2 linked regions of the Schizosaccharomyces pombe genome follow. Changing the gene in region 1 together with any one later gene gives a genetic interaction. Each region holds a gene or a part of one and is shown in the gene's direction. Other genes may lie near its edges.

What was found.
Region 2: of pfh1 (region 1) and pxd1, a mutation in one rescues a mutant of the other (synthetic rescue), as found in Schizosaccharomyces pombe (one study listed by BioGRID).

Annotation. Positions count from the first base shown.
Region 1 is NC_003423.3:3,563,047-3,575,594, reverse strand, and holds pfh1 (DNA repair and recombination protein), read left to right. Parts: upstream 1-5,118; 5' UTR 5,119-5,406; coding exon 5,407-6,661; exon of another isoform or gene 6,662-6,702; coding exon 6,703-7,865; 3' UTR 7,866-8,002; downstream 8,003-12,548. Other genes in the region: SPOM_SPBC887.16 (uncharacterized protein), read right to left, coding at 345-674; sphingosine hydroxylase/sphingolipid delta-4 desaturase Sur2, read left to right, coding at 3,334-4,215; cem1 (3-oxoacyl-[acyl-carrier-protein]-synthase condensing enzyme), read left to right, coding at 8,408-8,728, 8,766-9,554, 9,601-9,771; SPOM_SPBC887.12 (P-type ATPase), read right to left, coding at 9,932-12,548.
Region 2 is NC_003421.2:1,280,404-1,291,433, forward strand, and holds pxd1 (protein Pdx1), read left to right. Parts: upstream 1-5,762; 5' UTR 5,763-5,946; coding exon 5,947-7,002; 3' UTR 7,003-7,128; downstream 7,129-11,030. Other genes in the region: pdr16 (sec14 family protein), read right to left, coding at 1-496; DNA replication factor A subunit Ssb3, read right to left, coding at 1,483-1,547, 1,649-1,751, 1,815-1,961; rpm1 (3' ssRNA-specific 3'-to-5' exonuclease), read left to right, coding at 2,759-5,632; trp1322 (TRP-like ion channel protein), read left to right, coding at 7,734-10,322.

The DNA of each region.
Region 1 (12,548 bases):
TCAACGTGAAGATTGAAAAAACTTTATAATCCTTATCAACTGGATGCAAACCTACACCTAATTAAGTACAACAGTGAGTTTTCAGTCCAGGACCTCTTTATTACTGCAAAGAAATAGAAATTGGTGTTTAGAAAAAAGTTTGTAAAAAATGCAAAGTGTCGCTGATGGACCCAAGGACTGTTAAATACTAGTCAAATTTGGGCGCTTATATTTAACAGCCAATAGCTGTGCTATCAGATACTGCGTCAATTTCGCTACTTCAAAAAATGAGATAAACTCAAAATTCCACTGCCAATAACCTACTCCAAAGATATAAAAAATTCTTAAAAGTAACAATGATAACATTAGTAGTATTCTTCACAAATAATCGACATGCGAAAATTGCAAGAATACAAATGTATTCTGAAAAATAAAATGAAATTAAGCAGCCAAAAAAGAAAGAAAAAATGAAGATTACTAAAACTATTTTTGAATTCTGTCTTTGCTAAAGTTATTGCTTCTCTTTCTACTACTTGCATTAGTAACAGGGGGGTTTCATGTAGATAACCCTCACATACTCTCTCACGTTGACGCTGAATGCTAGGAGCAAAAAAATTAATTAAACCCGTTTTAACGACTTTAACTTGAGCACACCACAGGACTTTGTAAGGATATTGTAAATTGGTCCGAGCCATGTTTAAGATATCACCTATACAAACATATTTATATCACATTTGTTCGTTTTTGCAATCGCTTATCAAAATTCATGCAATTATAAGATAATTAAAGTAAACGAAATCATTAAGGTAAGTGATTATAGATTTAATACTTGTGCTCGTTCGTTTGGTGAGTTTTCTCTGACGGTACAGATACAAGATTATTTTGACTTGAATACCCCCATTATTGAACCTTCATAGTAAAAAGAAAAACACATGTGGGGGACATATGCTGGTAGGTGCAGCTAATACTAAAAGTTAAAGTGGGGAAAAAGACCTTACTGGGGGTACATAAGTTTATATGCTATAGAAGGTTAGCAAATGATTTTAACTGTGGTATGAAATTAAAGTGGGATAAAAAGACTTCAGTGGGGGATTCAAGAATTCATTTAGGGAAATCCTTGAAGTATGAAAATTTGAAACGATATAGATACAAGTAAACTACGCATAATTCACAAGGCGGTATTCGAAAAATGAAATTCTTAAAAGACTATCAAGCGTTATTTTATTATATTATTATTTACTACTTTTTTTTTTGTACTAACAGCTTTACTATATCTTTTTCTTAATGCAGCTACCAGGATATTTGTACTGCAAAGCACCCGACTGTAATGTTCACTCTTAATACATTCATTAGTAGTTTTTCCAAATCCATATGTTTTTAGCCGGCTAAGGTATAATGTACTTTAAAAATCGCTGCTGATCTAGTCAAAAGTTTAATGGAAATCATCCACTGTATTACGAAACATATAGTATTTTTAACTGTGTCGCACTAATTAAACAAAGGTTGTAGCAGCTTTTAGGCAGCTGGGATGGATTTTTCAACCAAGATAACAAAACCGTCAATTATTAGACAGGAATCCAAAATTATTGATTCCTTTTTATTATTGCATTTTCAATTCCAAAACATGCAAAACAGAAGAGATGTCAATGGCATCCCGGTAAATAAAAGAGTCCTTTTTTTAGAGGGGATGGGGACCGGCATTTTACCAATTTGGTACAAATCAGTCAATCTAACTATTAAATGGATTTGCAAGTTAATTCATTGGATCCTATGAGTTTAAGGTATGCTACTCCTAGTGTGAATGGTATTCTATGTTGATTGTTTATAGCTTTTCTTTCTACGCATGCACATCTGTTATGAAAGCACAATCATATAAAATTACACGGAATCATTGTTTAGCAATAGCACGCTGACAATTTCACAGGTCGCTTCAGTGCTATTTTCTATTTACAAGCCGTGGTAGTTTAATTATCGACATTATGTTATTTTTTGTTGAAAATAGCAATATCAAGTGTCCTTCGTAGTCGCTTCATAAAAAGTCAATTCTCTTTGTACCGAAAATTAAAACCCATTCAATTGCTGTCTTTCGCTGAAATTGTTAAATTACTAACGACCTAGACGGATTCCAAACAAAAAACGGAAAACAAATTTTTTTTTTTTTGTCAAACGATTTTTTTTACTATCTGTGTTCAGCGGAATGTACAACTTTAACCCTTCCGATAGTTTAAAAAAATCCCAGTATCAAAGGGAGTAAAAAGTAACAAAAAGCTTCCGTTGAATGCTACGACTTGTAGCCACATTTTTTAGTCCCTAACAATTATAGCGAGATATATTTGCTTCCCGCTCTAATATAGTGTAGTGTAGTTTAGATCCGCTACATCACATGTTACCAGCAAAAAAAAAACATCAGATTTTGCCTACAATGAGATGATACGATTTGTAAAAAAATCTCGTGTTTTCAAGAACACCAGCAAAATATATATATCGCAGTTTTAACCTGCATTCCGCAGTTCAAAAACATCCAATTCCTCTACTTTTCAAAAAGTCTTTCACAACTTTAGGGTCAAGCAATCTAGCTTAATCTTTAATCCCTTCTTGTAATAGTTTCAATTGCAAATTATTGTAGGCACTTAGTTTTTGGTTGTTAAAATAACAAGGTCTTGTTATTGCCGAATACAATACGTCTCAATTTTTTGACATCTTTTAGTGTTCAAACTTGAAAACTTGCAAGTTTCTAATTTATCTGTAATTCCATTTGTGTCTAAAAACACCGACGGTTATTACTTTTGTTCTCGCCTTCCCTTCTCCCTTGAGACAGATCGATATAATTTATCAATTTAATTTTGTTGGTCCATACTGATCAATTTCGGATTTTTTCGTTGGCGAAAGTTCCGTTTCTTAAAAATTAACTACATCTCGCTGCTTAAATCGGTAAATCGACAAAGACAGCCGCGCAAAGCTTGTACCTTAAACTTTGCTTTGCATTATATAAATTGTCACCATCGCAAACTAGCTCACCGAACCTCCGCCACAATCGTTGTGTTTGATAGTTTGTTTTTCCCAAAGACAAATTATTGAAAATCGAACAAATAAAGAGGTTTGTTTCGTTTAAATATCCTTTTTATTACTTGTTGTTTTAAAAGGTTCCTTATTGGTTTCATCGTTTTTCAATTGTTTGTATAAATCACATTTCTTGCCGTTTGTGATTTGTATATATTGTACCAACTGTTTTCTTTCTTCAGTCTAGACACATAGATATATATTCGCATATATATAACTAATCAGCTTCTCTCTTTTCTTACACTTTCACTTAACTTTTTGCTATATTTTCGAATTTGAATTTTTCTTGCCACTATGGTTACCACCGTTGAAATGTTAACTACCTGGAACCCAGTGACCGTTTCCTTGGTTTCTCCTGTCATCATTTACTGGGTTGCTTCTGCTTTCTTCGGATTTTTGCATTACATTGAATTACCTGTCTTTGAGAAGTATCGCATTCATCCTCCGGAGGAGATAGCCAGACGCAACCGTGTTCCTCAGATGGCTGTTGTTAAAGCCGTGCTTTTCCAACAACTTTGCGAAGTCGTCGTTGGAATCGCATTGGCCATGTTCGAGGGCTATCCTGAACCCATTGACGAGGCTAAGCAAATGTTACGCTACGAGGCTTTCTTCAGCAAGAATTTGCCTGCTTTGTTACAAGTTGCTCCCTTTGCCCCTAAATTGGCTTATAACTTTATTGTTCCCGCATTCCAATACTTCTTTGCTTTCTTCATCATTGACAGCTGGCAATACTTCTGGCACCGTTACCTCCACTACAACAAGAAGCTCTACAACATGATTCATGCCCATCACCATCGTCTCCAAGTTCCCTATGCTATGGGTGCCCTTTACAACCATCCCTTTGAAGGTTTGATTTTGGACACTTTTGGCGCTGGTGTTGCTTATCTCGCCGCCGGTCTTTCTCCTCAACAAGCTGTTATTTTCTTCACCCTTTCTACCTTGAAGACTGTTGATGATCACTGTGGATACGTATTCCCTTATGACCCTCTTCAAATGTTCTTTGCCAATAATGCTCGTTACCATGACCTTCATCACCAACCTTACGGTTTCCAAAAGAACTTTAGCCAGCCCTTCTTTACCTTCTGGGACCACGTTTTGGGAACTTACATGCCTCCCAAGTCTGAAACTCCTTACGAGAAAAAGCAAAAGGCTAAGAATGCAAAGAAGGTTAACTAGAAATTACAAAAGTACATGTGCTCTGTGATATTTGCATTTTTTGAATCTTTCTTATCCTTAGTACTTCTGCTGAATCCAATATACTGTTTTTTTTATATTGAGTTATAAATGTTTACTATTAATTTTTTCTCATTCTTTCTAGTTTCTTTGTTTGCTATTTTCATTTTTTTTGAAATTTTATTAATCTAATTGTTCTTCCTTTTAAATTTGTCGGTAGTACAAATCGATTGGCAATCCTTACTGTTGAAGTTATCCCTCCTATGACTCTAGGTATTTGTGATAACCGTAACCTTGTATTTTTATGTTATTTTCCACTTCTAAAGTCTCTTTAAAACGGGATGTTTGACACGGACTGCTGAAGAACACGATACTTACCTAAAGATGCATGTTTTTGTGTATCTTTACCAAAGTTGGTTGGTCAACGAATTTAAATCGTTTGTCGCTCATTATTGAATTTTCGACTTAGTATTGATTGTTTTAGTCTACATACAGTATATAATTTATTAATTGATAGCATTTATTATTTACAGACTTCCGAGGATATGGTATCGTAGACGCGTTTTATCAAATATTATAAAATTAATAACTTACTGTAAACACGGGTTAATATTTGCTTCGATTGTAACATATTATAACAAAAGTCAATTTATTTGCATTGCATTGCATAGGCCCCGAAAGCAAATTATGCAAGTTATACTTAAGGAACGACTAATGTAAAAAGGACTTTATGATAATTACAGTATTGAATGATAAAAAATTTGTGCAAAAGTTGTGAAGTAAAAAACACGTGCCTGGTGGTGACAGACGTGACGCGTCTTGACATACGCGCTTTCATTTGTCTCGTCCACTACCACCGTAAATTTGATTTTTATTAGTATAGCGCTTTCATTTCTGTACCTCCTTGTCAACAGCCGTTTCCTCGACATTGACAAATTTCTTCAACCGGTATCCCAATTAATACAATCAACAAAGGGATACTTCCAACTCTTATGTGCTTGGACCGCTTATCATAGGTGTTAGGTCGAGGTCGCATAAGTCAGTAGCAGATTGTTGTTTAAATTCAAACTGAAATTGTTTTCTTGTTGCTTTTCTTCGATCAAACAATTTTGGGTGATCTATTTCGTTTACGGTTTCTTTTTTTAGACAACCTGCGTACAGATCGCCTTCCAGTTTCTTGAAGTAATTCGATGAATGTTTTCGTGCCAATCTCTTTATAAATTTAGTCACTCTTTTAGGAAACGTATCCCCGTCATGTTTCAAAGAGCTCAGCAGAAAAGCAGCTTGCTTCATACACAAAACGAGTCATCGCATCAACCCTCCTTGAACAAATTGGGCGGTTTTTCGTCCGCTTCTTTAAACTTCAATTCCTCTCGCTCCTCTACTAATGATGATCAGCAAACATTTTCTAGCCAGTCTGATAACCTTCCGTCATCTCCAATAACCCTACCAGCCAAAAGAGGTCGTTCTGCTGCTAGCTTAAAACAACTTGATAACACCGTGGGATTCGATGTTTCGAAACCCTCACTGCCCGTTTTTGAAAATTCTGGCTTGGGTAGTAAATACTCCACTGAAATAGCGAATGGCGTCTATATTGATGAAAATGACTTTGATGATGATCTACTTTTAGAAAACGATATTGACCAAAAACCAATTCCTTGGTCTTCATCCCCTATCGAGCATACTAAGTTAACTAAATCAATGCTCTCGAGCGAAAAGCGGTCAAAAAATCATCTCTCAAAAATTTACGAAGACCATACTTCTGAAAAAGGCGCAAGTAGCGTAATATCTAGTAATATTACGAGGCAGGGAATAAAACGCTCACGAACCCTTCCTTGGGCAGTGGATCCTTACAGATATGGAGATCCTGATCCTAAAAGAACCAGCACTTCAGCTGATATCAGTCAACACACTGTATCTAATGATTCTTCAAATAAGCTTAGCAATGGACGAAGCAGTTCTTTGGATAGTCTGGCTAAAAAACGCATGAGTAAATCTAAGTCTACCCCACAGATATCTAAAAAATTTTCTGTTCCTTTAAACTCTGCTTCCAAATCGCCAATAGGATCTTCTTTGTTTAAGACAAGTGATTCTCGTAAAAAATCTGTCCCTAGCATATTCCTTTCCGATGAGCAAAAAAGAATTTTAGACATGGTTGTTGAGCAACAACACAGTATATTTTTTACGGGCTCTGCTGGAACAGGTAAATCTGTTCTCCTCCGAAAAATAATTGAAGTCCTAAAATCTAAATATAGAAAGCAATCTGACAGAGTTGCTGTTACCGCTTCTACAGGCTTGGCAGCCTGTAATATCGGCGGTGTAACACTTCACTCCTTTGCTGGGGTAGGCCTTGCTCGTGAATCTGTCGACCTCCTGGTATCTAAAATAAAGAAAAATAAGAAGTGTGTTAATCGTTGGTTGCGCACCAGAGTTTTGATCATTGATGAAGGTAAACAATTTAAGTGAGTTTATATTTACTAATAACTATAGTTTCTATGGTCGATGCTGAATTAATGGACAAGTTAGAAGAGGTTGCGCGTGTTATTCGCAAAGATAGTAAGCCATTTGGTGGAATTCAGTTGGTTTTAACTGGGGATTTTTTTCAGTTACCTCCTGTTCCAGAAAATGGGAAAGAATCGAAATTCTGTTTCGAATCTCAGACATGGAAAAGCGCACTTGATTTTACAATAGGATTGACTCACGTTTTTCGGCAAAAGGATGAGGAATTTGTCAAAATGCTTAATGAATTGCGCCTCGGGAAATTATCTGATGAATCGGTTAGAAAATTCAAAGTTCTTAATAGAACGATTGAATATGAAGATGGGCTTCTTCCGACAGAGTTATTTCCCACACGTTATGAGGTTGAGCGTTCGAACGATATGCGTATGCAACAAATTAATCAAAATCCTGTCACGTTTACCGCTATTGACTCGGGTACTGTTCGAGATAAAGAATTTCGTGACCGATTACTGCAAGGGTGCATGGCTCCTGCCACTTTAGTGTTAAAGGTAAATGCTCAGGTAATGCTTATAAAGAATATAGATGATCAGTTAGTAAATGGATCTCTTGGAAAAGTTATAGGTTTCATAGATGATGAGACCTATCAAATGGAAAAAAAGGATGCTGAAATGCAGGGAAGAAATGCTTTTGAATATGATAGTTTAGACATTTCACCCTTTGATCTTCCAGACGTTAAGCAAAAGAAATATAAATTGATTGCAATGCGTAAAGCTTCATCCACGGCAATAAAATGGCCATTAGTTCGTTTTAAACTTCCAAATGGAGGTGAACGTACAATTGTTGTACAACGGGAAACTTGGAATATTGAGCTTCCCAATGGTGAGGTTCAAGCTTCTAGAAGCCAAATTCCTCTTATTTTGGCTTATGCGATATCTATTCACAAGGCACAAGGACAGACTTTGGATCGAGTCAAGGTTGATTTGGGTCGTGTTTTTGAGAAAGGGCAAGCGTATGTTGCCTTATCTCGTGCAACTACTCAAGAAGGTCTCCAGGTTCTTAATTTTTCGCCTGCGAAGGTGATGGCACACCCCAAAGTCGTGCAATTCTATAAACAACTGGCTTCTGTTAATGGTTTGCCGATACGTAATGAAAACAAGGCTCCAGTTCAAATGAGGGGAGTCAAAAATAAGTAAAAATCAATTTTTACGAGTTTACCATGTACTAAAGATTTATTCATAACGGCCTGAATATATATGGTTGAAGTGTACAGTGATTTTAGACTAATTAGGTAATTTTATTCATAGAAATAATTTTAATAATATATTCATATATTTAATTTCTTCTTTGTTTATTAAATTTGAGCTTTACATTTATTATTATTTTTCCTATGGTGCTAATTCATTTCTATAACAGCGGTATTCCTTGAGGATGTTTAATTATGTACAGGAAGTAATTGTTACAAGGCCACCTTCTAGTAATCTTTAACTATCGCATAAACTGTAATTAAACGAACAGGGTGCACCTCGCTTCAATCAGTCTCTTAACTTTAATAGCCAACACACCTTGACCATGCATAAAAACTGAACATTTAATCCACTTTCAATCAGAACTTTGAAATCGATAACATAAACACAGTTTTGATCGATTTATATACTGTTAAATTCTCGCCTCAAATACCCTGTCGAAAGAAACGACAGATAATCTATTATTATTTCCACAAAGTAATGCTAGAAAAATGAAACGTGTGGTAATAACTGGACTGGGGGCCGTAACCCCTCTAGGCAATGGAGTTAAAACCAATTGGCGAAATCTAATTCAAGGAAAATCAGGTATCGTATCTCTTAAAGGATTTCCTGAGTATGAGCAAATACCAAGCAAAGTTGCTGGAGTGATACCAAGGGGAAAAGAAAAGGAAGAGTGGAATGTATTAGACTACGTTGACCAAGGGAAATTACGTGAAGTAGCTACTTTTACCCAGTTAGCTCTCACTTCTGCAGCTGAAGCATTAAAAGATGCAAGGTGGATTGACATAGATGAACAAGAAAAGCTAGCAACGGTATGTGAATCCAGAAAACTGTATACTAACAAAAAAGGGAGTTTGCTTTGGAACTGGCATAGGAAATCTTGACGATGCTTTAAATGAAAACGGTGTATTAAATAAGGCTGGAATAAGAAAAGTTTCACCGAGGGTCATTTCTAAAATACTAATTAATATGCCAGCAGGGTATATTTCACAAAGATATGGTTTTACTGCCTTAAATCACACAACAACTACAGCATGTGCAGCAGGTTGTCATGCTATAGGAGATGCCTTCAATTTTATAAAGCTTGGACATGCAGATGTTATTATTGCCGGTGGTTCTGAATCCTGTATTAATCCGCTAACCGTTGCTGGTTTTTCAAAAGCAAGAAGCTTGTCAACCAAGTTCAACGATAATCCAAAAGCGGCCTCAAGACCGTTTGATGCAAATCGTGATGGATTTGTAATTGGAGAAGGCTCCGCTGCCTTAGTCCTTGAGGAATTGGAGCATGCCAAAAATCGAAATGCTCATATATATGCTGAAATAGTCGGTTATGGTTTGGCATCTGATTCATATCATATTACAGCTCCAAATCCAAATGGGGATGCTGCTTACTATGCTATGAAGCGTTCCTTAAAACAAGCTGGTCTTTCTGCAAGTCAATTGGATTATATCAATGCTCATGCAACTTCAACCAAGCTTGGAGATGTAGCAGAAAGCATAGCGATTACTAGGTTACTTTGTGATGTGAACCGGAATCCTGAGGCATTTCCTGTATCTAGTAGCAAAGGCTCTATTGGCCATCTTTTAGGAGCAGCAGGTGCAATCGAATCTGTCTATACGGTCTTGACTGTCCAAAAGGTATTTTATTCTACTCAAACTTTCTATTGCTAACAAAACTGTATAGGGCGTCTTACCCCCTACGTTAAATTTCGAATACTCTGATATTCCTCAGCAGTTTCAGTGCGATTATGTGCCGAATGTGGCTAAAGAGAGCCGCATTAATGTTGCTTTGTCAAACAGCTTTGGATTTGGTGGTACCAATGCGTCTTTATGCTTTAAGAAATTCTTACAGTAATACAGAAAAAACGTCTTGTTAATCGATTAATAGGATGAATAACATAATAATTCTAAACGAGTGATAAACTAAAACAACTTAACATCGTAAAACTCATCGAAATCTGAGATCTAGAAACCAAAAGCGAATGTAATATAAAATAATAGAGAAAAATACGTATCTAACGCATTTCACCGTATGCTCCACGAGTATGTGTAGTATCATATGCATCTAAAATCCTTGACTGGTCCTCTTCACCTTGAGAAAAAGCATACCCTCTCTGTTTACGCATTCTCTGCATCTGTCTTATTTTCCTGATAGCTTTATGAAACCCGACAATACGAGGTCTATAGTCTGTGACATTATATTTCTGAATTTCTTGAACGTAATGATACTCCTCAGGATAATACATTCTGGATGAATATTTCCACACAAAGTCACGCATCAGTGCTATTGTTGGCAAAACAAGTAGGGAAGCCCAAAATTTTAGATTCCCGTAAAGATGTGGAATTATTCCGTAGTACTCCTTTGAAAATCCGATAGCGGGTGCTGCAACAGCATAAATGGGCATAAACACTATCCATAGCAAGAAAGATCCGAGGGTAGCAATTACAGTGTATTGAGTCCAATGATTACTAATTAAGGCAGCCTTACCTAAAACAGTAGCTAGTATTGCAGCGTAAAGTGTAGTACCCCACACCCAATGACCTGACGCGAGACCATCCTTATTAGGACCATCATAGTAAAACACAGCAATGGAACAAAGAAATAGAAGAAGTGAATGATAAAACCCATTTGTTATCCAAGACCAAAACCTTTTTAAGTTAAAAAATTCACTTCTTTGACCTAATTGATAAAGTTGCGGATACTGAAAAAGTTGACCAGCGCTTACAAACTGATCAAATATACCTATTACCACCGGTGGAAGAACAGTAAAAAGCACATTATACAGTGAAATAGACCAAGACTCAAAAATTACCTGGCCGGAAAATGCATTGCAAAAAGCGTACCAAAACTGAGTCATGTAGAGAGCAATGTTTTTGTAAAACGAGTACAAAATAAGTTTGCTGAGACGCTGATAACACCAAGATCCGTGAACAAGTAACAATTTTTTTAAATAGCAAAATTGGGAAATTGAAAAATCAGAGCTTCGAACTGCTTGTAACCCTTCCATACCGCTGATTCCAACCCCAACATGGGCAGCTTGAATCATCGGCACATCATTAGCGCCATCTCCAATAGCTAATAGCACTTCACCTGTATTTCTTTTAACCATCTTAACGATCAAAGCCTTCTGTAAAGGTGAGACACGACAACATATCACGGCACGGCATAAAGAAGCCAGTTCAAAGAATCGGCGTTCTAGGCTAAAATCTAATGCATAAGTAAGTGAAACCCCATCTATAACCAAAGCCATTGATTCAACATTTCCAGTGGTAGCTTCGTTTCGATATATAGAAGATAACTTAGCCATTACGCTTTCAGCAGTAGCCTCTTTCGTTTCTTCGTTCACTATAACTAAACCCATGTCTTCATCAATCAACTTGCAACTCATGCCAATATTAATTGCGGTCTCTTGTCGATCACCGGTCAGAACCCAGATTTTTATTCCAGCTGTTTGTAAAGTTGAGATAGTATCAGGAACTCCATCTTGCAGTCTATCTTCTATAGCGGTAGCTCCCAGCAAGATTAAATCCTTTTCAATTTCTTCAGCAGCATCCATAAGCTTCTGAGCACGGTCAACCAGACTAGAGGCTGCAGTTTCAAACACTGTTGACCACCTTTGATATTCGTCTTCCGGGACTTCCCGCATAGCAATACAAAGCGTACGTAAACCCACGGTAGCATAATCTTCAAGATGATGAATCGTAGTTTGTAAGTACGGGTTATCGGATGCTAACCTTTCCATAATGACTGTGTCAGCACCTTTAACGTATAAACGAATTTTTCCATCAGGACAACGAAAAACTATTGACATCCTTTTGCGAGTAGAATTAAATTCGCAAATATGTAATAGTTCATAACTTTCATCTTTTCCAAAAATACTTACAGTCACTAAATGCGGTTTCCTCGCTAGAAACTTATAACCAATGGATGCAGCACCTTTCACTAAGGCACCTTCATCCGGTGAAGAAGCTTGATATTTAATTGAATTAGTGGATTCATCATACTCTGGGATAACCGTATGGCAAATAGAAAGAACTAGTAAGAACTGATGTATAAGGCTTGCATTTTCACTATGTTTGAGATTTTCTTTAAGCGTATCAAAATCGTATATGTACATATCAGAATCAAGGTCTTCTGAGGTAAACTGACGATCTTCAGGAATAACATCAGCATATGCAACACCGGCTATAGTGCATTGACGAAATTCCATTTGATTTCTCGTCAATGTACCTGTTTTGTCGCTAAAAATATATCCAACCTGACCCAATTCTTCAACTAGAGAAGATGTGCGGCATGCAGCTGGAGTATCAGTTTCCTCATTGTACATATCAAGGTCACTGCTGATTAGCTGTGCCTGTATATATCGGACTAACTCAAAAGTAACGAACAAAGAAATTGGCACAAGATTTGAGTAGAGAATCCAGAAAGTCAGCAACCCTTTGAAAAACATGCCGGCCCTGTTGGAAGTATATTTAACATAAGATAAAGCTGATCCATAAACCGAACGATGAATGAGAGCTCCAAGTGAAGAGGCAAAACAAAGAAACACAAAGATGCATAATAAAAACAGAATCTGTGAGTTCACTTGCTTCTCGACGGAAGTTCGTTTAATGGGTGTTTCTGTAGTGTTC
Region 2 (11,030 bases), on another chromosome or scaffold:
GTCTGGGTGTATCTGAATCATCGGGTGTAATTTTTGGTTCAGCGGCAGAATTACCTTCGGAAACATCTACCGTTGGAGCTGAACTACTCATGGCTGCATCATTAGCTTCAGCTTTATCAGATTGGACCCTGCGTTGAGCGACCTTTCTTTCACCTTCAGCATTACGAGTTTTTTGGTTAGCTGCTTGAATATGCTGCAAGTTGACTGTATTTCTCATCTTTGAGGCAGGAGATGAAGAAGACCCTGTTTTGGTATGTACAGTAGGATTACCAACAGGTACAGATTTTCTGACCTCGTTCGAAGTGGAAGATGTGCTAACATTAGGGCGAGCAGGACGCACATTAGAGGCGGGTCCTTTGGCAGCAGTATTTTCTCTTTCATGAATACTGCTGGTATTGCTTTTATGCGATTTTCCTTTTGACTTGCCAAAACCAAGTTTATGGAGAAACTTACTAAAGCCGTTGTGGCCATGATGGTGATGTTCCGAATCTTTCATCGTGGTTTTGTATCGATAAAATTAACGAATGTTGGTTTTGAATAAACTATTAACAGTTTAGATTGCAAAGGGTATTCTTTTCACCGTAAAAGAAGAAATATCAAAGGAAATTAGAAATAATGGAATTAAATGAAAAAAGGTATTTTCCCAAGACTTAAATTACTATAGGGTTCGAAATACTTAACTCTTTTCTTTTTTCTCTATTTTTAGTAAGAGATCTCGATGGTTTACCATGAATTCCAGGATATCTTTTATCTCTGTTTCGACCAATTTAACATGCAAGCAAGTTAGATTATATTCAAAGAAACGTGTCTGATCTCTAAAGATAAGGCGCAGACAGAAATGCAAAGAACAAATGTCAGATATATTTAGAGTATTTCAATCGGAGCAATTCCGAAACAATCCAACTTCTGCATATGCACGTTTTCTAACGTTATTTCTCTAACAATCTCAATAACTGCTAAACAACAGTTTTAGCAAAAAAGTTTGTAAAGGAAAAAGTAATATAATAATTCTCAAAACAACCAATTTTCTTTAGGAATAAGCGATATTCAGCGTAGTACCACTAGATATACTTGCGTTGCTCGCTTTGTATATATATGGTAGTTGGATTGTTACAATGGCAGGGTGACTGAAGGATGAGCAAACGTAAGAAACACCGGTATGTACCGTCTTCGGAGCCGAATCGTCCGCGATGAGCATCTCAAGGATACACTAAATAAGATAGTGCGAAAAAAGGAGAACGTTATATAAAAATACTCAAACAAGAATCAAAAAAAGTGAAATAAACGATAGTAAAATTCATATTTGTATTAGCCAAAAGGAAGAATCATTATAAAAGAAAAGCTTGAGTTTAGAAATGCAATAAAATATGCAAAAACCAAAAGAAGGAAGCAAGATTCTGCGCGTTTATTCTTCCATGTTTATTTGTACTGTGCATGAGAAATGAAAGAGAAATCTGTGTTGTATGATCCATAAAATGTTTCTTATTCAAAAAAAAGTGAGTTATACTTATGACTGAATAGAACGAGTTTCTGGTATACCTCCATATCTAAAGGAACAGGAAATTAGTTAATCGGTCAATAGAATGTAGGACTTAGCAGAAGCAGAAGTTCAAAGGACTTCCTTATTATTTTTATAAACACAACTTACCAATATCAGTGCCAAAATCAACACAGGTTAAAAGCTGCACCGAAGAATCTGGTTTGACAGAAACGACAAATTCATAGAAATGATTGGGTTCAAGAGTGTTATCCTAAAATTAGTTAGATAAAATAAAAAAACTCTGAAAACCGATTGTAAAATAGATAAAACGTACCACAGTGAGGTGCATATCGAAAGAACCGTTGGAATCGACTTTTGCAGTTTCACCTTCAACTTGATTCGCCTTGCCAACAATCCGAACCGTTTTTCCAGAGCATTCTGGTAGCATATCTTTCGTAACTCGAGGTGTAGGGCGTTCCATATTATTTTATACGCGTTGTTTATAAAGTGGTGGAAGTGAAGTATGTATCAGACCAGGTAGTTAACTACTTGTTGACACGAATTATTTAAAATATTGGAACGCAGTACGTTATGTATTATATGTTGGAAGGCGCTGGGATGTAAATAAAAAAGCAAAAGCGTAAATATAAACGCTGGGGGCTAACGTTGATACATTACTGTTCTATTTTTTATAAGAATTATTCATAAAAAAATCTCCTTGTATCCTTCTGCGTTAATTTCACTACTTATTAATTGGTTGAAATGTTGTAAATAAACGGGTTAAAGACCAATATAAATACGTCTTACATATAGTGATTTAAATAACATTATGGAAAGATTTCATGGTATTTTATACTATTTTTGAAATCGTCGGCGACTCTTAATTTTCTCTCTTTTCCAATACCACTATTAGTAAATTGCTTAGGCGTAGACCAGAAGCTTCAATAATTAAAAGTAAATGTAATTGATGGAAAGCAGCCTTCTTTTAATGATATAATTTTTCAATTAGTTTTACCTTGAGGTTGTGATTTCATGTATTTCACTTTGAAGTCGCCCATCCCCTCGACCATTCAATTCAAAAAAAAAAAAATCAAAAAACTCCATACTCATATTGAAATCTTTCTTCTGTTACATTAGTTATTAAACCACTCTTCATTTACATTTGCAGAGCTTGTTACCTTAATACTTGCTAGTACCTAAAAGTGCTCTGGTTCAGCTCTCTAGTCGAATTTACCATCAACACTATTTTTGGTGTTACTAATTATAGGGTTTTTGCCCATGAACTATAGGCAATTGTTTCTTCTTCAAAATGTTAATTTAGAGTCTAATTATTTATTAAAACGTGTATGCCTGTCTTTAAAATTGTCTCCTTGTAAACTTACAAGGAAATTTCATCATGCTTGCCCTTCCAGTTCAAAAGTTTTGAAATATTTCCGCATAACTGGATGCCTAATAAATTTCGGGAAACAACCAGCAAACGATCATCATCTTTGGGGACATTGTGGTGCGCGTTTGAAGCATACTCAATCAGATCTTATTGATCGATTTAAAAATGCTAATTTGAAATCCGTGAATGAGGAAAACCTTAAAAAATTTTTCTCTGAATTAGAAAATCATGGAAACATTAGACAGTGGTTGAAAGACAAGTTCGAGAAGGACAAACGCGCTGCTGTTTGTCCTACTACTACAAAATCTGAGGAAGAGAAGTTGGAAAATGATTTTGAGTATTCTTTTGATTTAGAAGATTTCAGCAGTGAGAATTTTAGACAGTACGATCGTGGAGATTTGCTAGTGTTTTATAGGGGCTCCGAAGGCATTGAACTTGCTGCATGCACTGGTACTAATGTTTGGAACTATAGTAATGTATTGACCAGCATTAACGAAAACGGTACTATTAAGGAATTTCGTACATCTAGAGTTTTACTGAGATGTCCTAATGTCTTTAAAAAGCTGAAAGAGGTGCAGCAACCTCTTTCTGATGTTTCTGTTCCTTCTGATGTCCTACCTTTCACTATAAAGTTATTAAAAAAAATCTCTCAAAGAGCACAAGATTTAAGTCGAAGTCACCGAAATGAATTTTTGCGAATATTGACAGAATTCAATATTCCAAATAAACTTGACAATTCAGCTTCTTTTTCAGACCTTTTGAAATTTGTGTACAAAACTTCGAAGCCTAGCCCATATGCTAAAATCTCATTGTTACACTTTTTGCTTACAGAAAGCAAACATTTTTTAATAAGCGATCACATATTTTCCGAAATTCAAAAAGTCTATTTCCTTCCCTCTTCACAAAATGATTCTTTTGACGACGTTGTTGCATGCCTGCGTCAGAAATCAACACCATATCTTTCGTTTATAAAGAAAGCTCGTCATTTAATTCAAGTTTCCCGAGATAAATATAAGTTACCTATAAGCACCGAAGAAATAAAACCCGTAGTTTATTCACAGGTCACTTGGACTGAATTTGAAAAAAAACTATTGCGGTATCTTGTTCAGGAAATGATTGCAAAAAGTATTCAAAGTTTACCAAATACACACTTGTGTCAGGTTTACAAAGAAGTTGGCCTTCAAACTCACGAGAGGGGATTAACTAGTGATCAGTTTGCTAAATTCTTAACGGATATTGGCGTGTGGGCTTCATGGCAGCCCCCGAGGTTGTTTCAACAGGAATACAGCATTGCTGGCCTTGGTACTAATCCTCAGTTAGATGCTGTGTATGAACGTGAGTGTAATCACTTTAAAAAGTTTGTAAAAAATGAATTAAAAGATTCACTTGAATCGCAACGCGTCGATTTAAGGCATCTTAAAGCGTTCGCCTTTGATAGTTCTTCTACGAAAGAGATAGATGATGCGATTTCGGTTGAAGAATTAGGGATGTCTAATTCCTGGCTTCATATCCATGTTGCTAATCCTACGAGTACAGTTGACATTCGCAGTCCTTTAGGCACGTTTGCTGAAAGGAACTTTCAAACTATTTATCATCCCAACAAAATTGTGTATATGCTACCTCTCAATATCACTCAGAAATATTGGAGTTTAGATTCATCTTCTACAGCTCAAAGAGCATTAACTTTTAGTGCTAAAATTTCAAAAAATGGCGATATACTTGATTACAAGGTTCGGCCTAGCTTCATTTCCTCAGTTATCAAATACACACCCCAACAACTGGATAAAGCTTTGCATAGTAATCGATCAATTGCGAAAGACATCGTTTCTGGACCAGTGGATGAGGAAACAAAAGGAGTATCAAATGATCACATGAAAGATATATTAAGAATATATGAACTTTCGAAACAAGCCTGTTTTTCTAGGTTACAAAAGTTTGCGTTTGTTATTGCACAACCCACTCCGACAGTTGAATTGCTGCCTAATAATGTCCCTTATAATCTTGGTGATCTGAATCATCCAGTATACTGGTCTTCCTTCCCTACAATTAGTTTGAACGTTAGTGAAGGGTATAGCTTGGCAGAATCAGTAATATCAGAGTGCATGATATTGGCTGGCCGGGTTTCATCATTATTTTTTCAAGAACATAAATTACCTGGGATTTTTAGGGGCCAGCCTTATCCAATTATGGATGGTGTACGAAGAAAAGCGTTTGAAACTTTGTTAAGTAACAGGTCATCTTGGGGACTCGTTGAAACTAAGTATTCACTTTCTGTAATGCCTTTATTTGAAAGTTCACATTTAGCCTCCACACCTGTTTCCCACTTTTCTTTGGGGCTAAAGGATGGCTATATTCAGTCTACCTCTCCTTTACGCCGGTTTACCGACTTCTTCACTCATCATCAGATTCAGTCGGTATTATTAAAGACTCCAAAAAATACTATACCTGATGGTATTCTTCGTGGAAAACTAAATTTGTACAACCAAAAAGAAAAATCAATTAAAACTATAGGAAGATACATTAATCGTTTCTGGGCCTTAAAATATATAGAGAGACTTCCAAAGGTACAAAAAAATATTTATCATGGATATTTAATGGTTTCAGAACTTTCAACACCTCAGGTCATGTTGGAAGAATTGGGTGTTAAAGCGCATATTGATATTCTCCCGGACGAAGCATTCCGGTTAGCAAATACTCGCCAGGCATTTACAATTAAGGATGTCTTTCCGGAGTCTAATATCCTATTAGTTGCTTTAGCGACCTAACAAACTTATTAAAACTATTTTTATGGATATAATTTTACTTAATTAAATACTCAATCCTGCATTTTATCAATTTACCGAGACTTAACGATATAAATAAATTATGTTTTGGGATTTGATAGTAACCTGTTTCGCCAAAACTCATCTCAAAAACCAACAGGTAGTTTTACTATGAAGTCTCTTTGTTAACCTTGACTCTTGTGATTAAAATATATTTTCTTTTTCTATTTTTTGTAAGACAAGAAGCAAATGTCTTTGGATGCTTATAAATCCATCGACGAAGTGTGCTGCGTTGTTTAAAATCTAAGTTAAGAAAAATGATTGAATCTAAAGGTGAAACAGCACCCTCTTTAAATTTAAACGACGTTAATGTTGAAGAAAATGATGCTGCGCAAAGTTTTGCAGAGAAGGTTCAGCGGTTTCGATACCAGATGAAAGTCCATGCAGCACCGCGACAGAAAACGCTGCATTCTTTCCTGAAAAAGGATAATGCTAATATTCATGACTTTACTAAAGTTGAGAAACCACACATTCGTTCTTCTAAATCGAAGGTTTCTTATAACAGTATTACATCAAGAGTTACCAAATATTTTGAAGAAAAAAATAATTCCGTTGATCAATTGCATTCAGAAAGCTTGACCCCATTAAGCTTTGGCCATACCATTCCCAAGAAAAAGCCGTTACTTATGACGGCTTCTGTTTCAGAAGATTCTAGAGTTCGTGTTAGTAAGAGACAATTTAAGTCCAAAGTTGTTCATCCAGAAATTGCTATTTCTATTGCTAAAAGGCATAAGCCAAAGTTTCCTCTGTCTGATGAACTCATGAATGTCGAACCTGGGTTCCACCACAGCAATATCGGTTGTCAAATTACGCCTTACTTATGGATATCATCATTTAGAACTAATGTCTATTACCTAATTGGAAATGAGGGTGACTTATTGTCCCAACAAGTACCTTCGATAAGTGGGGAGTTAAACATGTTGAGAGGAGTATGCACCCGTATCGATGATGATAATCGCTATGATATTGAACAAGCTGGTTCTTGTTTTGGTATGTCGGTATTTCCAACCTCTGATTCTGGAGAAGAGTCTTTTACCACCCTTGAGTCCGATCCGATAGTTAATTGCGAACACGATGAAAAGAAAGTTGCTGATAATCTCCTGGTTCCTCAAGTAATGTGTTCTTCTAATATTTCAACGTTCTTTCGAAGCCCTGGTGGAAAAAAGTTGTATCATTATTTATGGAAAAATTCAAATGCCCTACGTATTTCCTCAAACGACCTTCTCGAAATACTTTTAAAGCACGGTGTTTATGTATCTTTGGACACTCTGCACTCGTGGCTTCAGGAAAGAAACGTAAATTTTGAAAAGTGAAATATTTATGTTAGACTAAGTATAGCAAACTTTTGGCGAGCTGGTCCCGTAATGATGATTTAATGTACGTTATATATCTAACAAGTCAAGAATATTATTTCAATAATTTTAAATGTATATATTTATGTGATAAGTTAGAACTAAAAATAACGAGTAGATAGCTTGTCTTAATTTTGAAGGACCAAAGCAGAAGGGACTTTATGACTCGAGTTTTAAACGTCTTTGAGAACGTTACTGAGTTCTTCTTGTCTTATTTGTTTTTTTTTATATCTCAATAGCGCTGTATGGTTTATAATATATGCATATAAAGCGCTAATGTTAGGACCTTTTCTTGAGCAGATTTGTCTTTGGAAAATAACGAAATAGTATATTATTATGTTATTTATTTAACGAGCCGGAAATTTTTCATAAAATTTCACTAACGTGCTGCGTAGTTAATCTTTATTATCTAATACTAGGACAAGGAACGCGAGAGCATGTGTTTGTCATTAACTACACACACGAGAAATAGCAATTTATGTGTTTCGCGTCTCTGGCCTACTTATATCTTACAAAGCATTCATTTTTTGAAACCTTCTTTTCTTTCTAAATAACTGCATTTGTAATTGCTCAAATTACCAACCCTGAGCAGTTAAAGTCTTTTTCAAATTTCGTTTCATAGAGAATCAAAAGAATTCAAGGTTGGATCTATTTATATTAAAATTTATTAGAATGTTTGTGTTTGGATAATAATGAAGCCTCGCCCGTACTCTGTTTTCCTCTTTCTTCATATCGTTTTTTACAGCCTTCTTTCAGCAGTGAATGGATCCCCAAGTTTGGATTATTTTGAGACTTGTTCAAACTTTGTACCGAGAGCAGGTATTCCTACCTTTAGCCCATATGCAGTTATCAAGAATTTTGATGAAGTGAATCGGATGTACTACATTCAAGTAGTGGGGAATTTATCCGGAGTTATAACGATTGTGGGTGGAAATGGCTCACATATTCACGCTGCTTCAGTTTATTCGGAAACTTATGCGTTAGGAAAACTGGTCACATCCAATACCACAAAGCTTTGTGATGTTGTTATGGATCCTCATTCTTTTGAAGTCCCCATAAAATGTCCTTGGGCAGCTGGAAGTGCCGCTTTCATGGTTAAAGTTCCCTTTAAATCCACCTTGTCCGATTACTCAAAATACGAATTGACTACATTAACAACGCGAGTAATCGTTGTTGACGGTACTCCCGAGAAAAATGTAATAACTTGTATGAAGTTTGGTTTGTCCACAACTTTGTATTATTTTTATCCAGTTATTTCATATTTGGTTGTTGTGTCGCTCGCATATGTCTCGTTTTCCATTATTTATGCTCTTTTTTTAAATCCATGGACCGGCAGTTTAGATCCATTTAAGTCGATTTTTAATTTTAATATGGACCCTGATGCTCTTCGTTTAACATCCCTTGGATTTTTTGATTTTGTGCAATACTTGCAATTTGCTGTTTCTACAGCTCAGGTTAGTGTTATGTTTCCAAAATTTTACATAAATATTATGGCTGCTCTTTCTTGGGGCACTGCTCTATTTCGATTTCCCATTTTCTCCGAGCCTGCTGAATATCAATTTGCAGACTTTGCCGACTTGTCTGTAGCATCCTCTAGTTATGCGGATTATTTGCCTAAGTCATATGGCATGTATTCGTTTCTCGATTCTATAGGAATAGGTACTGCATGCTGGCTTCCGTTTCTTATAGTCATGGTTATTTACTTATTTGCTGCGTTATTTGTAGCATTGTTGGTTATTTTTTTGAAATGGCTTATGTCTAGAATTTTCAATGAAACTATTGCCGAAACTCGGTGGGATACTTGGAGCTTCATTGCTGGTTCTCTGATACGTCTTTACTTCTTGACATATTTCCCTACCGTCGCTTATATGTCATTCCAGTTTGTCGCACCGCCCACAGGTTATGAAATTATCCCCGTTTTGTGGTTTATCTTTTTTGGAATCTTTATTCCGGTGTATTTATATATGAATCTCGCTTTTGTTGAACCATCGTCCAAACTTCTTGAAGATCAAACATATTTGCATTTATTTGGCTCTATATACAATTCGTTTCGAGAAGAGAGAGTTATGTTTTGGATCTTTCCAATTGCCGTACAATTTATGCGTGGTATTACGGTTGGTGTCATAGGAAGTTCCGGCTCTGCACAATTAGCCATATTCTTTATACTTGAAGTTGCTAATGTCGTGGCGTATGCTTATGTGCGACCACATTTCCCGCAGACGAGTATGAATACGTTAAACACCTTCATCTCTACCATGCGCTTGATCACGGTTATTCTAATGATTCCCTTAGATCCTCGATTAAAGGTTCTTGGCATTAGTAGAGATTTACTGGCCTATGCAATTTTGTTTATTCACATAATGGTTTGTATCCTTTTCTTACTTCTGTCAACTCAACGATTTATGGAAGTCAGTGCACGGTTATTAGGTGCTAAAAGTGAGAGTAAAGGTGTCCCACTCGATCGACCATTTGGTTGGGCCAGGGTATTTGGTATTAATGAATTGAGACGCCGGCGTCTTAAGGATCCATATTCCAATGGCAACACAATGATGTTTGATCATTCTACCTACAACTCAAATGAAATGTCAGTGCCACTTACGCCAGTCTCCGTTTGTTCTAATTCCCTTAAGAAGGATGGCGAGGCTGCTCCGCCAAAATTATTCGTTCAGACTAACTGTATTCCTCCAGTTACGCAAGCGTCGAGTCTTGTCCCTTCTAAGAACAATACAGCATCTTCAAGTAGTCTAATGTTGGATTCTCCTGTTACTCCCAGTTCTCCATACAGCACATCACAAGGATATTCATTTTACCGTCCACCTAAACCAAAGTCATCTGTTCGTAAACGGGACATGGATCAACTACGTGCTTTACAATTAGACTTTTTAAACAACAAGCCTAATTTACTACGCCATGATGTTAATTACGCGGTTCGTGAGGCCGATGTCTATCATCCACACGTAGACACAAGTATTGACAGTCTATCGCAAATCTCTTCGCAACCATTTGAAATGAGGCCCACTGCTATTCCACCTCCTCCGAAAAATGCATTTCAACGGGCGTGGCAAATTGTCCAATCAACAGCTAAGTCCATATGGCACTCAGACCCCCCGAAAGAATCTGAAAAAGGTTTCGTCGTTTTACGTTCTCGTCCACGGCCAAATTTGCAAAAGCCTCTTCCTCAGTTGCATATAGAGCCTTCCCGTGATGAACAGTACTCCATGGAGAGAAAGAAAACCGATGACTCATTAGCGGAGTCAGCCTGGTCGATTCCACATCCATAACTCCACTTTCGTTCGTTAATGTTTATGATTTGTGAGAATTTTGTTTTGTTCTTTTATTTTCACTTTTCATTTTTCATTGTTACACTTTACTTTTGCTGTTTCTTATTTCGAAATACGGAACGTATTCTTTTTTTAATTTATTTCAGTCACATTTTGAACCTCTAATTGTTTCTTTTTGAAACGTTTTTTTTCGCTATTATGACGGTAATCCTATTTTTTCTCTTACCTGTCTGCTCTCTTACTACTTCATTTCATTAAAGCTTGCATTTTTTTTTCCTCTCCCATACAGTTTCATTTACTAAAGGCCAAATTTAATAATCCCAAAATCTCGACTTTTGTTGTCTTAATATAGCACAAGTGCTTTCTTTGCTCTATCGGCAGCCCATTAAAGTCGAAATTTTTTTTCGTTCAATTTCGTATATTTTGTTGTTGTTGTTGTTCCTTTTATTTTAATTAGCATTTTCTATTATCCACCTGCCTTTTCATACCAATCTAATGCTCGTTTTTTCCCTAAATCTTTTTTCGTTAACCTTTTATGGTTCTTACATTTTCTCAGTTATCAAGTTAGCTAACTTTCTTTAACTCACATTTCTTTATTATATAAGGTTTTTTTTCATTAAAGAAGCTTGCTTAATAATTCGTTTTTTTTTGTTTTTCGTTTTTTTGCTGACAACTTCAAATCCATATTACTTTCGCCTCGCTCTGCTT